Linked DNA regions of Anolis sagrei. Each later gene encodes a partner of the first gene's protein in a complex. Links are inferred from orthologs where the notes say so. Each region holds a gene or a part of one and is shown on either strand. Other genes may lie near its edges.

Evidence for each region. The genes of interacting proteins can lie anywhere in the genome.
Region 2: the proteins of CKB (region 1) and ASB9 are in contact, whole or in part, in a cryo-EM structure (PDB 6V9H), measured with the Homo sapiens proteins. The link is inferred for Anolis sagrei from reciprocal best matches to the Homo sapiens genes CKB and ASB9. Residues at the interface, in NP_001814.2 of Homo sapiens: Asn63, Pro64, Gly65, His66, Pro67, Tyr68, Ile69, Thr71, Arg130, Arg132, His191, Val198, Ser199, Pro200, Leu201, Leu202, Leu226, Trp228, Glu232, Ile238, Met240, Asn286, Arg292, Gly303, Lys304, His305, Glu306, Lys319, Arg320, Gly321; in NP_001026909.1 of Homo sapiens: Leu25, Asn27, Pro28, Leu29, Met30, Gly31, Asp32, Ala33, Val34, Ser35, Asp36, Trp37, Pro39, Glu42, Ile45, His46, Trp60, Ala67, Asp68, His69, Glu75, Ala100, Asp101, Trp102, Val111, Asp133, Leu134, Ser165, His166.

The regions. Positions count from the first base shown.
Region 1 is NC_090021.1:327,580,987-327,588,828, reverse strand, and holds the start of CKB (creatine kinase B-type), read right to left. Parts: upstream 3,340-7,842; 5' UTR 3,200-3,339; intron 528-3,199; 5' UTR 505-527; coding exon 312-504; intron 1-311. UniProt on the Homo sapiens protein: Reversibly catalyzes the transfer of phosphate between ATP and various phosphogens (e.g. creatine phosphate).
Region 2 is NC_090023.1:90,862,541-90,871,183, forward strand, and holds the start of ASB9 (ankyrin repeat and SOCS box protein 9), read left to right. Parts: upstream 1-5,310; 5' UTR 5,311-5,529; intron 5,530-5,657; 5' UTR 5,658-5,726; coding exon 5,727-5,817; intron 5,818-8,643. UniProt on the Homo sapiens protein: Substrate-recognition component of a cullin-5-RING E3 ubiquitin-protein ligase complex (ECS complex, also named CRL5 complex), which mediates the ubiquitination and subsequent proteasomal degradation of target proteins.

The DNA.
Region 1 (7,842 bases):
ATATATATAGGTTTATATACACATGGTAGGTCCAGGGTGGGAGAAAGAACTCACCTTACATTTATATTTATATTATATATATATATAATACCTCAATCTCTGAGCATGCCTGCCATAGATGTGGGCAAAACATACAGCCCAAAAAACTCACAGCAATTCAGGCCAATGCCCAAGGGTATTATGCAGCTAGGCCTCTTGAAGGTCTTATCAGGAGGTCTTTTGAGATGCCATTTTCAAAGCAGCACTTCCTCACTTAATGAAGGGAGAACAGATCCGGATCACAGAAGGGCCGCTGCCCCGGCATCCTTTACCTGGGTTGTCCACCCCAGTCTGAATCACATCGTCCACACAAAATCCGCTTGGAGTCACTCTATCCCGCAACTTGGTGTACAGCTCCAAGGTCAGCACTTTAGCCATATGGTTGTTGTGGGCGCTCAGATCTGGGTACTCATCCTCGGCGGAGTAGTTCTTCTTCAAGAGGTTGTGGCTGTTTGAGAATGGCATGGCGGGCCCCTGACTGCAAGGAGCTAAGAAGGGAGAAGAAGAGGAGAGGGGAAAGCTTAGCTGTGGGCTTGAGCTGCGGATGGGAGCTGGGCCTCGCAGCAAGGTCACCTTGTCTCCGGTACTGCGACCTGCCCAGGCAGGCACTCTCCCCGCCCGGCACCTGAGGATTGCCAGGCACTGGGCCAACATTCCCCTTCCGCCTCCTCTTCCTCTTGGCACCAGGAAGGGCCACACAGCAGGGACCGGCAGGAGGGATCTGCTCAAGGTCAAGAGCCTGGCTTGAGAGAGAGAAGAGGAGGCCAGGAATAGAAAGCGGCAGAGCTCTGTCTCTCTGAGCCTTGCCCCACTTCCTCCTTTCCTTGGTCCCAAAGGGTCACCTTCAAGGCAAGGGAGCAGACATGTTTTTGGAAAAGGATGGGTGGCTCTGGAATCCCTTGTTTCTGGAGAGTTGAAGCCCAAACTTGGACACTCTCTTTTGCATCCTCTTCCTCCTGGCCAGATGGTGCCACAGAAAAGGAGAGGAAGAGAGAGAGGGGACCCGCCCTGGTTTCTCCTGCCTCCAAAGCCCAGCCTCACTTACTCTCCTCGCTTTTGCAAGAGCGGAGAAGCCGGTTGGGGATGGATGCGTCCTGGGCAAAATTGGCAGTGAGGAATGCGCCAAGGAGGGTTCCCTCTCTCTCTCCAATCTTCCTCCCTCTAATCTCTCCTTGGTCCCTTTAAAGCAGGTGGATCTGACATCCCTGCAAACAGCCCAAGGGAAGGAAGGGTGTGGGGTGGAGACTCTCCCATTGCGCTTTGCTTGCCAAGAGCGCACGGCTGGCTTCTCCATTCCATTCCTTCCTTCCCTTTTCCTTCAAGACTGAGAGCCAAGGCATCTGAGGGACATTCTGGGGGCTCAAAGGCACATATGGGGCGGGCATCCTGATAAACAGCCCAAGGGGAAGGCAAAGGGAGGGAGATACCTCTCTCTATCGCAGGCATGGGCAAACTTGGGCCCTCCAGGTGTTTCGGACTTCAACTCCCACCATTCCAAACAGCCTCAGGCCCCTTCCTTTTCCCCCTCAGCCGCCCAGGTTTGCCCATGCCTCCTCTATCGCACTCCTTTTGACTCATCCAAGCTCTTCCTCCAGGAGCCCCCCAGGATGCAATGGGTTAAACTCTTCTGCCCACAGGACTGCTGACTAAAGGTTGGGGGTTCGAATCCAAGGAGAGCGGGTTGAGCTCCCTCTGTCAGCTCCAGCTTCCCATGCCAGGACATGGGAGAAGCCTCCCACAGGGATGGTAAAACATCCGGGCGTCACCTGGGCAACGTCCTTGCAGACAGCCAATTCTCTCACACGAGGATTTGAATGGGGGAGTGGGGTGAGCTTCCTTCTGTCAGCTCCAGCTTCCCATGCAGGGACATGAGAGAAGCCTCCCACAAGGATGGCAACGTCCTTGCAAACGACCAGTTCTCTCAAACCAGAAGCTACTTGCAATATTGGGGTTTGAATCTAGGAAGTGAGTTGAGCTCCCATCTGTCAGCTACAGCTCCCAAAAGGAAGATAAAAACATCAAACATCCGGGCGTCCCTTGGGCAACGTCCTTACAGACGGCCAATTCTCTCACACCACGATTTGAATGGGGGAGTGAGGTGAGCTTCCCTCTGTCAGCTCCAGCTTCCCATGCCGGGACATGAGAGAAGCCTCCCAAAAGGAGGACAAAAACATCAAAACATCCGGGTATCCCCTGGGCAACGTCCTTGCAAACGGCCAATTCTCTCACACCAGAAGCTACTTGCAATTTGGGGTTCGAATCCAGGAAGTGAGCTGAGCTCCCACCTGTCAGCTACAGCTTCCCATGCCGGGACATGAGAGAAGCCTCCCAAAAGGAGGATAAAAACATCAAAACATCCGGGCGTCCCCTGGGCAACATCCTTACAGACGGCCAATTCTCTCACACCACGATTTGAATGAGGGAGTGAGCTGAGCTCCCACCTGTCAGCTACATCCTCTGGGCAACGTCCTTGCAGACAGCCAAATTCTCTCACACCAGAAGCGACTTGCAGTTTCGCTCCTGACAGGAGAAGGAAAAAAAAAACCATGCTGTGGAAAGCACAGATAGGAGGAGAGGGGGAGAATTTCCCTGCAAGGTACACCTTCTCTAGGGGAGGACTGAGATAGGGAAGTCCTTGGGGCAAGGCTGGCTCTGGAAAGCAAGCCACTGAGAAGCTTCGGCTCCCTTTGCACCCATCCTTGGGGAAGATGGCCACTCCATCTCTTCCTCGCGCTCGCCCTCCAAGTGGAGGGAACGAAGGGGGAAAACGAAAGGGCGCTCCCGTTATGTAACGAAACTCCTCTCTGCTTGGCGCAGAGGAGGATCATGCCAACCCATCCCCTGCTTAAATGCCAATTCGGGGCCAAGGGATGGGAGAAGGAGGCAGCTTGAGCCCTGCAGGCAGGAGGCAAAAGAATGGGAACGAGAGTGGTCTTGCTCTTGCTTTTCAGAGCCAGGAAGAGAGTCAAGAGCAGCAGCATCTTCTGTCTCCCAACTCACCACGCCTTGGTTACTCTCGGCATCCTTTCCCTTCCCTTCTCCAAAACCCCAAAGCACATTGGCATGAAGAAGAGCAAGCATCGCAAGGTCATTGGCTCTCCCTTGGAAATGATAGGCTTCCTCCCCAAGACTCCTGGTTGACTTGCCTCCCAGCACTTACCGAGAGGGTCAGAGCAAGACAAAAGCGGCGCACTTGTGCCTCCTCGAGTGGGTGAGTGAGTGAGTGAGTGGAAGGAAGGAGGAACCCGGCTGCTCTTCCAGACAGACCTGCCTCGAATGGAGCCGTACCCCCGCCCTCCCTCCGCTTATATATCCAGCCCAAGCCAAGCACCCATTGGACACTATTTATATTCCATTCATTCCATTGGAGGCTTGCTCTCCAGGAGGAGGAGGAGGATGGAGGGAGGGAGAGAGAGGGCTCTGCTGGCCCAGTCGCTCCCAGTTTGCAGCCAGGCCTCCCAGTCAGGTGGAGAGGGAGAGGAGAAAGGAAGAGTCCCAGTCTTTTTGGGTTCCAATTCTGAAGGGAAGAAAGGGAAGGACATGGACCCTCCTCCTCCTCCAAGGAGACAAAGTGAGATGATGAAATAGCAAAGCCTTACAAAGGGAGATACTGCATCTCTGGGAGAAAGTAAACAAGGGTGGGTCCCAAGCTGGCAGGTGCTCTGGGAGCATGTACTTCTTTATTGACTGCATTTATATCTCACTTTTCTCTCCCTAAAGCAGTGTAAAAGGTAAAGGTAGTCCCCTGACATTAAGTCCAGTCATGTCTGACTCTGGGGTGTGGTGCTCATCTCCATTTCTAAGCCGAAGAGCCGGCGTTGTCTGTAGACACCACCAAGGTCATGTGGCCGGCATGACTGCATGGAGTGCCGTTACCTTCCCGCCGGAGCGGTACCTATTGATCTACTCACATTTGCATGTTTTTGAACTGCTAGGTTGGCAGAAAAAGCAGTGTAATGGCACACAAATAACTCAGCTGTTAAACTGAAGAACCATGTCTTTAAATAGCCAAGGATAAAGACATGCAATTACAAAAATATATTTGGTTAGCAGAGGATGGCTGTTTCTTTGAAGTTGAAGTTGCCCATCTACTCTCCCTTACAAAAACTCTTGTTTAAAACATGCACTCGGGAGACAAAACAAAGTAGTCTTTGAAAATAACATTTTGGGTTTACTAACAAACTTCTTGTATATATTCACCACACAGGCACATTTCTTATTAGAGTTCAGTTAGATAAGATATGGTCTCTTAAGTATGATACTTAGTCAATTGTCCACAGTCTTTAAATATAGCTATACTCACTGAAGTCTGAAAGTCATACTTCTCTACTAAAGTCCAAACAGCAACATGCATCCACCTCCACTGAGGTCTAAAAACCCCTAAAGCAGTGTTTCTTACTCTTCCTAATACTACAACCCCCTTAATACCCCCTCGTGTTGTGATAACCCCTCAACCATAAAATTAAGTTGATTTTATATAATACTTTAACTATTTTTCCCATGAAACAAAGTGTGTGTACACTGAACCATCAGAAAGGAAAAGCACCAATATCTCAGTCACTCATGTGGACTATTTCAGATTTAGGAGTATTTCCAATTTTGGAATTTTGCATAATCTTTAGCATAGTGTTTCTCAACCTTCCTAATGCTGTGGCCCTTTAATACAGTTCCTCATGTTGTGGTGACCCCCAACCATAACATTATTTTCCTTGCTACTTCCAGAACTGTAATATTGCTCCTGTTATGAATCGTAATGTAAATATCTGATATGCAGGATGTATTTTCATTCACTGGGCCAAATTTGGCACAAATATCCAATACATCCAAATTTGAATACTGGTGGCATTGAGGGGAATTTATTTTCTCATTTGTAGTTGCTGGGATTTATAGTTCACCTACAACCAAAGAGCATTCTGAACTCCACCAACTGACATAATTGAACCAAACTTGGCACACAAAACTCCCACAACTAACAAGAAAATACCGGAAGAGTTTGATATCGTTGACCTTGAGCTTTGGAGTTGTAGTTCACATATATCCAGAGAGCACTGTGGACTCAAACAATGATGGATCTGGACCAAACTTGGCACGAATACTCAATATGCCCAACTGTAAACACTGGTGGAGCTTAGGGAAAATCAATCTTGACATTTGGGAGTTGTAGTTGCTGGGATTTATAGTTCACCTACAATCAAAGAGCATTCTGAACTCCACCAACTGAGAGAATTGAACCAAACTTGGCACGCTAACCTCCCATGACCAAGAGAAAATACTGGAAGGGTTTGCTGGGCATTGACCTTGGGTTTTGGAGTTGTAGTTCACCTATATCCAGAGAGTACTGTGGACTCCAACAATGATGAATCTGGACCAAACTTGGTACAAATAATATGCCCAACTGTAAACACTGGTGGAGTTTAGGGAAAATAGATCTTGACATTTGGGAGTTGTAGTTACTGGGAATTATAGCCTACAATCAAAGAGCATTCTGAACTCCACCAATGATAGAATTGGGCCAAACTTCCCACACAGCACCCCCATACCTTGAAGGTACTTGCTGGTGCAAACCTCCCTTCAGCCTCACACGCTCTCCCTCGCCCACACATGCACACCATTCGCCAAGCACGCCTGCTCTCCCCTCCCCTCTTGAAGTCTCAGAAACAGCTCTTCCCTTGGCTGAGAGGCCAGTCAATCACAGCTGAGGGGGGCTTTTTGTGGGAGGATTCGCAGTCTGTTTCTAAAAAGGAAGAGAAGGACAGACGATGAGATCTTCAGCCTTCTCTGTCAAAAGGGTTCTTAAGACCATCAGAAATATATGTTTTCTGATGATCTTTGGCAACCTTTCTGAAACCCCCTTGTGACCCCCGTCCCAGGTCCTGACCCCCAGATTGAGAAACGCTGTCCTAAGGGAATTCAAAGCGGTTTCCAGCCTTATAAAGGCAACATGCTGTACATACATGTGAAAACCAAAATACTAATAGCAAGACAATAACATAACTATGAATTAAACCTAACCAAATTAAAATATAAACATAAAAGAGCATTTAGACATAAAGCATAAAAAATTACACATCGATAATATAATAACTTTTGTATTAAAACCCACTGATAAACACTATTTTAAAAGAGTTATTAAAATCACGCCATCCAAAATCAAGTCCAAGCGAACTGAAACACCTGAGTGAAATGACCATAGATAGCATCACATGAATGCCATGCCAGAAAGAACATGTCCCATTGGCCACCCTCCCTCTCTCTCTCCCTCCTTGGTTTCTATATTCTTGGGCAGGATTCGAATCCAGGCTGTAACACCTAGTAGGCTCTAGAAAGATGTTGGTGAAAGATGATGAAAATTATATAATTGCTGTATCCACAGAAAATACATTTCCAGACTGCATGGATATGCAAAAAATACGGATCATATCCAATTCTGTTGAATTGAAGGACTTCTGGCCCAAGAATACCACACAGTCCTGCTGGAGGAGGACTTAGAAAATGCCTAGAGAGGATGTATTTTGATGGATCAGGATAATTGAAACCATCGATACTGATCCTGCGGAAACAGGAGGCTGTGCTTTAGTATCATTTCCCTGCTAGTCAAAGACCATCTGGCAAAGAGGAATTACTTGGAAGGATTGACAGAATTATGGAAGGTATGTTGAAGCCTGTAAACCATGTTAGAGAGGGCAACAATCTGTGTGTGATGCAGGTAAACAATGTGCTAATGTGCAATGTAGTGCGGTAAACGTTCCAACCTCACCAAACTTTGACTGTGCTTTTCCTGCACAGTCCTAATGGCTAAGCGGGTTAAATCGCTGAGCTGAACTTGCTGACCAAAAGGTCGACAGTTTGAATCCGAGGAGCGGGGGCGAGCTCCCACTGATAGCCCCAGTGTCTGCCAACTTAGCAGTTTGAAAACATGCAAATGTGAGTAGATCAATGGGTATTGCTTCGGCGGGAAGGACCTTGGTATCCGCTGAGGTTTAGTTCCAGGACTCCTCATATATTCCAAAATCTATTCATGCTTAAAGATACCTGGTGGCATAGCGGGTTAAACCACTGAGTTGCTGAACTTGCTGACCAAAAGGTTGGCGGTTTGAATCCAGGGAGCGGGGTGAGCTCCCACTGCTAGCCCCAGCTTCTGCCAACCTAGCAGTTCGAAAACATGCAAATGTGTGTAGATCAATAGATACTGCTTTGGCGGGAAGGTAATGGCACTTCATGCAGCCATGCTGGCCACATGACCTTGGAGGTGTCTATGGACAACGCCGGCTCTTTGGCTTAGAAATGGAGATGAGCACCGCCCACCAGAGTCGGACACAACTAGACTTAATGTCAAGGGGAAACCTTTAGCTTTACTTCCTGCATGGCGGGGGTTGGACTAGATGGCCCATGTGGTCTCTTCCAACTCTATGATTCTAAGTGCCAGATTAAATTTAATTCATAACAACCAATCTTGCATCATCAGGTATGTGTTTTTGGAGCCCAAGTTTGTCGCATCTTGAGCTGCTTCTTCTGGCTCTATTGAGATTGCAGTAATTTTTTTAAAAAAGATCTGGGCTGAAATGCAAATAAGAGCTTTAAGGGATTGGGGCTAGCTGGACATACGCGTCATGTGAGTGATTAACTGCCTCTCTGTATAAACTTCACAGAAAATATCCACGCTCTGGGGGAATGGCTACTTCTCTAAGAACTAACCTCTGCTTGACATTTGTAGGCCAAGCCTGGGAATGTTTACTTGGGGGTAAGTGGTACTGCTGGTTTCAGTGGGACGTTGGAGTCCAAGGTCACTATTCCTGTATTGTA
Region 2 (8,643 bases), on another chromosome or scaffold:
AAATACTAGGTAGGAGAGGATGCAGCAGTTTGCTTTTGCCTGATTCTATAGAAAAAGGCAAGATTTTGTCCCCTTCTCTCCTTGCTGCTGAGTTGAATGCAAAGTCTTTATGTAATTTGAACTTTCTTTCCAGCATATGTAGTATGATGAAATAAAAGGAAATAAGTGGGAGATGGAGAGAGAAACTGGACCATTTTTAAAGCATCTGAAAAAGTGGAACACTATGTAACATGATTTTTGTTCCTTGGTTATAAATGTAATTTCCTATTGGTTCTATCATAAAAACATGAAAAATGTTTATAAAACTTCGTTTTTGCGAGATATCCTTTAGCAATTTTGCTATATGTGTTGTCGAAAGTTTTCGTGGCAAGAATCACTGAGTTGCTGTGAGTTTTCTAGGGCATATGACTATGTTCCAGAAGCATTTTCTCCTGATGTTTCGCCTGCATCTATGGCAGGCATCCTCAAAGGTTGTGAGGTAAGTTGGAAACTAGGAAAGTGGGGTTTATATATCTGTGGAATGCCCAGGGTGGGAGAAAGAACTCTGTTTGTTTGAGGCAAGTGTGAATGTTGCAATTGGCTATTTTGATTAGAATTGGATGGCCTAGCAGCTTCAAGGACTGCCTGATTCCCGTCCGGGGGGGGGGGGGGGGGGCGGGGCGGGATATTTTGCCATAGTTTAAAAATGAATATCACCAAGGCTCCTTTTACAATGTTATATAATCCAGATTATCAAATCAGATAATCCACATTATCTGCTTTGAACTGGATTCTATGAGTCTACACTGCCATATAATCCAGTTCAAAGCAGATAATCTGGATTTTATGTGGAAGTGTAGAGGCTTAACCAATTCAACACAGTTTGTGGCAGCCACAAAAAATAAAGCTTCTGGAGTATAACAGCTAATTTCAAAGTAAGTACCACAGAATTAAACAGGAAATAACACTTTCAAACCAGAAACAGATTTCCTCCCCAAGTTTTGTTACATAGTGTAACTAATTGAAGATATGGGCTGTAGGACTAGGAGTGGACCTACTACTCAATGGCTAGACCAGTGTTTCCCAAACACTGGTCGAGATGCTAGTCTTCCAGATGTTTTAGACTTCAACTCCCAGAATCCCTGATCATTTCTCAAGGCAGCTGAGGCTACTGGGAGTTGAAGTGAAAAACTGGAAGACTAGAGTTTGGGAATACTGGGACTGCCTGTATATATAGTGAACATGGGATAAAGTTAAGGTTTCTATGTTACTCATGTCACGGGGACAAAATATACATGCTTAAAGTGCTCCTGTTCACTATTCCGATAATTCAGTGAGGTCCCTTAACTCTCTCCATCATATCTTTCTCCATCAGCAGTCCGCATTCTGTGATCCCTGAACATTGTTCTCAATGGAATATCTCAAAGTGCCCACGTATGGGGTGAAGGACACTACTTGTGGGCTTTACCTTATCACCACTTCTGCAGTCTTTCTGGCTTTATCAATCTGCTAATACACATGGCCAAATAAGCTAGATTTATTTGTGAGTGTGTGTGTATGGTGCTGTTATGGCCAGATAAGAGATAGCATTCTTTCCTGAACATCAAAGAAAATGGTAACTAGAACAGCAGAGAAAAAAGAGACAGAGCTTGGAAAAACTATCTAAATTTTTATGTGTTACTTGTTACTTTATAAGTAACTGTTAATTAATGTTTTACTAACACATTGCTTTTGGGTTACTATTTTCAAAACAAAAATCCTCTTAAAAATAGCAAAATGTTCCCATTGCCCTCAAATGTCCTCAGTGTTTTAGAACAAATATATTAATTAGTTTGATGTTACCAGTTGTTATATCATTACTCAAAGGGCCGCCTTTATGTCAGTTTCTTAAAAGATAAACATAATTCTGACTGGATTTCAAATCCATGGATTCTGCATCTACAGATTCAACCATAGACAGCTTGCATATATTTTAAAAGCCTCAAAGCAAACTTGATTTTACCAGCAAACATAGTAGCTGTAGCAGATGCTTAGGGATCCTTTTAAAGAAAGGGTTATAGTTCTGTGGGTCCACTTCAATAGTCATGGTTTTCTAGGATCAGCATGTTAGAAAGGGGTATTTAGACTTTTCACTCTAATGCCTCAACAAACTACGCATCCCAGGATTCCATGGAATGCAACTGTGGCAGTTGCAGTGGAATCATGCTGTGAGTACCAGGTAGTGTGCCAGGTATGAAGTGGGGGCAAATCATACCCTTTTTTTCTTTAGGTAGGATGGCAGACTGGGATTCACAGAGGTGTGAGCAGCTAGGTCGTGCACTTTAGGCCTATTACAGATGATATATGTATTTTATTTGTTCTGGTGGCTAGCAGATACAGCCATATTTTCTATGATTTCACTACAGTATGACCCCCCTCCCCCTCCATTTGTGGGGGGGGGGGGTAAGTTCCCTGACTTCATGTGGATACACAGAACCACAGATTATAGAGAACCCTATTGTATGAAGGTCTTGGACCAAGAATAGCATAAAGTCACACTGGGGAATCTAGAAAATGCCTAGATGTATTGATAAATGGAACTGGGGGGGAGGGGGCACTGATTTTGTGAATACATGTTTGTACTGCATTGTGTCCAAAGGTTCTTATGTTATTATAGTGTATGTTTACTTGATGCATAGCTTCCTTGGTTAATTAAACATGTGTATACCTAAATGCACCAGATTCCCTCTGATTTTGGAAGCTAAGCAGTCAATGCTAGTTAGCGCTTGGGTGGGAGACCACCAACAACCAAACCCTGATGGCGCAATTGGTTCAATCCTTGTGTGGGCAGGACTGCTGATCAACATGTCAGCAGTTAGAATCCGGGGAGAGCGTGGATGAGCTCCCTCTGTCAGCTCCAGCTCCCCATGCAGGGAAATGAGAGAAGTCTCCCACAAAGATGGTAAAACACCAAACATCTGGGAGTCCCCTGGGCAACGTCTTTGGAGACGGCCAATTCTCTCACACCAGAAGCGACTTGCAGTTTCTCAAGTTGCTCCTGACATTAAAAAAAAGCCCAACCTATTCCAGATACTGTAGGATATATTTCAATGGAAGGAAAGGCAAAAACTGTTCTGAGTATTCCTAATGTGAAATTAATGGGTCACCATATGTTGAAAGCCAACTTGAAAGCACATAAATGTATCCAAGTAGTGGTAAAAGGGGAGAAAGTGTTCAAATTTCAGCTTGTTGGACCAACATAAAACCTACCTTGAGGCATGAAAGAAAGCCTCCTACACCACCAAATTTCCCTCCCCTCTCCCACTCTGATACAGAATCCCAATGATAGATCTAGGGGTATCTATCTCACTTGACCCTTATTGTAGTTTTGCAAGTGTGCTGCTTCAGAATTGATTGATTGATTGATTGTATACATCTTAAGTCTCCTGTAAACTTATGAATTTTATAGGGTTTTCTAGGGCAAGGAATAATCAGATGTGGGGCCCTTTCACACAGCCATATAACCCAGAATATCAAGGCAGAAAATGCCACAATGTCTGCTTTTAACTGGGTTATCTGAGTCCACATTGCTTTATATTCCAGTTCCAAGCAGAAAATGTGGGATTTTATTCAGCTGTGTGGAAGGAGCTGTGATTTTGTCAGTTGTTTACTCTAAAATATACCGCACAGCAGCAGGTATTTGTTGTAAGTCTCCCATACAAGTAGTAACCAAAACTGATCCTGTTTAGCTTCAAATGGGATTTGGTGCCTTTAGGGCATGCATCTAGGCCCTTATGTGATTGATTAGAGTGATAAAATATTTTTTTTATTTCTCCATTTTCTAATTGTGTTTTTGTTCTAATGCTGCCTTGTAATTAATTTGAAGCTAACCATCCTGCCCCAGCATGGGAGATAATGTGTCACTGACATGTAGCATTCTACTGAACTAACCTTGCCATACTGTGTCTCCAGCATCCTTCCAGAGATCCCTTTCTTTTCCTATGGCTCAGCCAAGGTCATGCGCTAGGTCTTTCAATTTCCATTTTGTGGTGTATGGGGAGTTGCTAGCTATCTTCAAAAGGCTGCAAAGTGCATAAGCCTGCTATAGACTTAATAGTTTCTACTTAACAAAATAGCAGTCCTCCTACGAAGAGAAATAAATGAATGGGAGTGTTACCGCTATCATTTTAATGAGTCTCTGTGCTTGAATGACACTCCAACCACATCAGTTATTTCTTGCCTGAGATATTGCATAGGATATTACATACAGTCTGCCTGTCACATTTGCAGATTTAACTTTTGTGATTATTTGAGGATGTGCTTAAGATGTTCTTTTTAGGCATCTCCAAGTCCTTCTGCGTGATTTCACCCATATAGTTGTGACAAAGGACCTAGAAAATTCCTAGAGTAGGTCCTCCAGAGTGATTCAATTTCCAGCAGAGGTTGAGTATTGAGTTGTGCTGGAGGACCTAAAGCAGTGGTTGTTAACCTGTGGGTCGCAGACCACCAGTGGACTGTGAGGACGAAAATCTGGTCCGCGAGCCTCCTTCCTCTTTATTTTATTTCCACTCTTTTCCCACTACCTGCCACTCCTTCCCTGTCGCTGACCGTGGCATATGTTCTGTATCAGAAACTAGAGCTGATATGGTCTATCCAATGCAATTTTCTGAATGAGCACCCCAAACTGAAATCTAAAGTTGACCAAAAACTGATCCGTAACTCTTTTGCTACTAATGTTGGAGAGTGGTCTCTGGTCAAAGTGGTCCCTGGTCCGCTTTGGGAACCATTTGACCTAGAGAGATATTCTCTAAGGGAAGAAAAATAGCATTTTTTAATTTGCAGTTCTACTTTTGTAGAGGTCTTGCATTCCTAAATCCAGAGAATGTGACGGGTCTGACTGTATGGAACAGCAGCTTAATAAAGAAGTGTGCCCAATATTGTACTGTGACTGCTACAGGCCAACCTGACCCAAACTAGTGGTTTTTTGGTTGCTGGACTACATATGCCATCACCCCCGAGCCACATGATGGTATTTTTAATCCAATATGTCTCGCTAATGCCCTGTTGGAGAAAACTGCCATGTGGATTGTTATAGGATTTGCTGAAAACACAGAGTTTGCAACATGTGGTTTCAATATTATCAGCCTTGTATGATAATTGCTTTTCTGTGTGGAAAATAACTCAGTTTGCCATTTCTGCATGCTGCTTTCAAACGCCTGCAATGGTATGTCTTAAAAGCAACTTAATCGGTGATAATGCAGGGCAGGACTCTCCCTTCCTCCTATTTTCCTGCTTTTTCCTCCCTGCCTCCCCCTCTTTCTGTTATATATCCCCTGCAGGCAGAGTTTGCTGAGCTAGTTAAACTGGCTCTTTCTGTCTTGTGCATTTTTTTTTGGCAACAGAGAAGTTCCTCTTTTATAAAAACAAGCAGGCAGACTGTCTGATTGGCCATGAGTTTGGAAAGGATATGACATCAACCACATCCCTCACTTTGTTCTGTGTGCCTGAAATCTTTTTCCACTTCTTTTACTCAGCCAATGAAGAGGTGTTCTGTTAAACTGCAATACCAAGGTATTTGGGTTGCTCTGGACTTGGGTCTGGTATTGATGTTCCAGTCTTCGACCAAGTGTTATTTTAAACCCACCCACAGATTTTTTAAAATAAATCACTCATTGGAACATGTTTGTTTTCCTCAACAGGCAAGATGGTATTTGAGCTTGCAAGATCTCAAACTGTGAAGTGAAATAACAGTATTCAGGCGAGTTGCAATGGAAGGAGCAAATGCAGATTCTCATTCATCCCAAGGATCAGAAAGCCAGTCTCATCATGTACCTTTGCGACCGAATCCATTGATGGGTGGTGAGTAATCTTGCTGTATGTAAAAGAAAGTGTTCATAGTGGAAAGGCCATGGGAGATGTGTTAGGATAACTTAACTGCTTTGTATTTATTTAGAAACTTTGCATGCCACCCTTGATGTTATATCAAGTTGTTTACACCGCAAAGGAATAAATAGTAGCAATGAAATGCAAAAACATACGTGGAGCAGGAATAGAAAAAGTTGTGCGAAGTTGTGTGAAGATATGTTATGCTACCCTTGATGATATATAAGTGATCTGCAGTACAAATTACAGTGAATAAATACAGACAATATAAATATGAAATGCAAAAAATCATATATATATAAAAATCATATATAAAAAGTTACTGTGGCTGTAATCCCTATGCGGTTTTAGCTGGGAAAATGCACCCTTCCAGTCAATAAGACTTAAGTTCTGAATAGACATGCATAATAGGACTGAGCTGTAAAATGCTTAATACAACAGTGGGCTATGCACAATAACACTATAGAGCAGGCATGGGCAAACTTCACCCCTCCAGGTGTTTCGGATTTCAACTCCCACAATTTCTAACAGCCGGTAAGCTGTTAGGAATTGTGGGAGTTGAAGTCCAAAACACCTGGAAGGCCGAAGTTTGCCCATGCTTGCTATAGAGCCTGCTTTCTTTAAAATAAAGCAACCCTGAGAGACATAAAAGTCTGACTCATGAATTGCTTTGTGAAGTTGCCCTGCTGCTAGATGTGTATTTGTATTAGATGGCATGATGTGATGACCAGATTCATAGCTGTGCAATTAGTTTGGGGAAAGGGGGGTTATTTTTCCCAAAACAGTTGGTGTTCCCTTATAAAGGATGTTCTTTTTGCAAATAGGTGATTTGTTGCTTTTTAAATGACATGACTAAATATCACATTTATAGTTTTTTGTGAACTTTTTTTGTGTGTCAGGAGCAATTTGAGAAACTTTAAGTTGCTTCTGATGTAAGAGAATTGGCCGTGTGCAAGGACATTGCCCAGGAGACACTCGGATGTTTTACCATCCTATGGGAGGCTTCTCTCATGTCTCCACATGAGAAGCTGGAGCTGACAGATGGAAGCTCACCTCGCTCCCCACATTCGAATCATTGACCCTTCGGTCGGCAATCTTGCCGGCACAAGGGTTTAACCCATTGTGCCACCGAGGGCTTCTTTTGTGAACTTACCATATATATACATATAGTCAATTCATCAAAGTTGCCTACAAATATTTATATGATAAGACTTCCTATTTACAATATTAAAATTCTCATCACATCTAATTGTGATCCGCACTCTCTCATCTCTGGACTCTGTGGTAACTTTATGCACTCTAGATATGCCTTTTTTTCTCTTTGTGTCAGAAGTGACTTGAGAAATTGCAAGTCGCTTCTGGTGTGAGAGAATTGGCCATCTGCAAGGACGTTGCCCATTGTGCCACCGGGGGGCACCTTCTAGATATTCTGGAACCCTACAGTCATTATCCTCAGCCATTATATCCATGTCCAATGACCTTGCTGACTGGGGATGCTGGAAACCCCAGTGAGTAGAAGAGGACTATTCTGTAGTCATCCTCCAATGTTGACTTTGTAGATTGCAAGGTATTTGGGAAGATATCTGTTTTGCTTCTATAAAGAAAGTACCGTTATACACAGATAGTCCCCCTTATCTGCAGGGGACATGTTGCTAGACTGTGTAGATATGTGAAACCACAGATAATAGACTACACTGATGGTGTCTTTGTCAACATGTTAAGTCTGTAACATCAATACAAAACAAAACAAAAAAAGACCTTTCCATATTGGGGCTCATTTCGCACTACATAGTGGTTTCACTTTAGCTACTGTGACAACTTCCCAAAGAATTCTGGAACATGGAGTTCAGAAAGCGGTATCTGACTCTGGAAGGTAAAGGTAAAATTTTCCCCTGACATTAAGTCTAGTCGTGTCCAACTCTGGGGGTGGTGGTGCTCATCTCCATTTCTAAGCCGAAGAGCCATTGTTGTCCGTAGACACCTCCTGACTGCATGGAGCACTCTTACTTTCCTGCAGAAGCAGTACCTATTGATCTACTCACATTTGCATGTTTTCAAAGTGTTAGCATGCAGAAGCTGGGCCTAACAGCGGGTGCTCACCCTCTCCCTGAATTCGAACTGCCAACCTTTCGGTCAGCAAGTTCAGCAGTTCAGTAGTTTAACCCACTGCGCCACCCTTTACCTTGGAAACCAGGGTTCAAACAGCTGTTCACCCATGAAAACCCACAGGGTCCCATTCTCTGAGCCTCAGAGAATGGCCATCGCAAACTCTTCTGAATAAATCTTGCCAGTGATAGTGTCACTTTAGGGTTTCCATAGGTTGGAAACAACTTAAAGCCATACAGCAACGATTCCAAATGTAGAATGGGACTTTCTAACTTTTATTTCACTTGGAGCTTTAAATTTGTTCTGTTATGATGTGATTTAGGTGCATTTTAAATTTTACATTTGTACCCTGCTTTGAGGAGCCCCTGGTGGCAGAGTGGGTTAAACTGCTGAGCTACTGAACTTGCTGACCAAAAGATCAGCATTTCAAATCCGGGGAGTGGGGTAAGCTCCAGCTGGTAACCCCAGCTGCTACCAACCTAGCAGTTTGAAAACATGCAAATGTGAAGAGATCAATACCACTCTGGCAGGAAGGTAACTGCGCTCCATGCAGTCATGCCAGCCACATTACCATGGAGGTGTCTATGGGCAACGCTGGCTCTTGGGCTTAGAAATGGAGATGAGCACCAACCCCCAAAGTCAGACATGACTGGACTTAATGTCAAGGGAATACCTTTACCTTATCCTGCTTTGTCT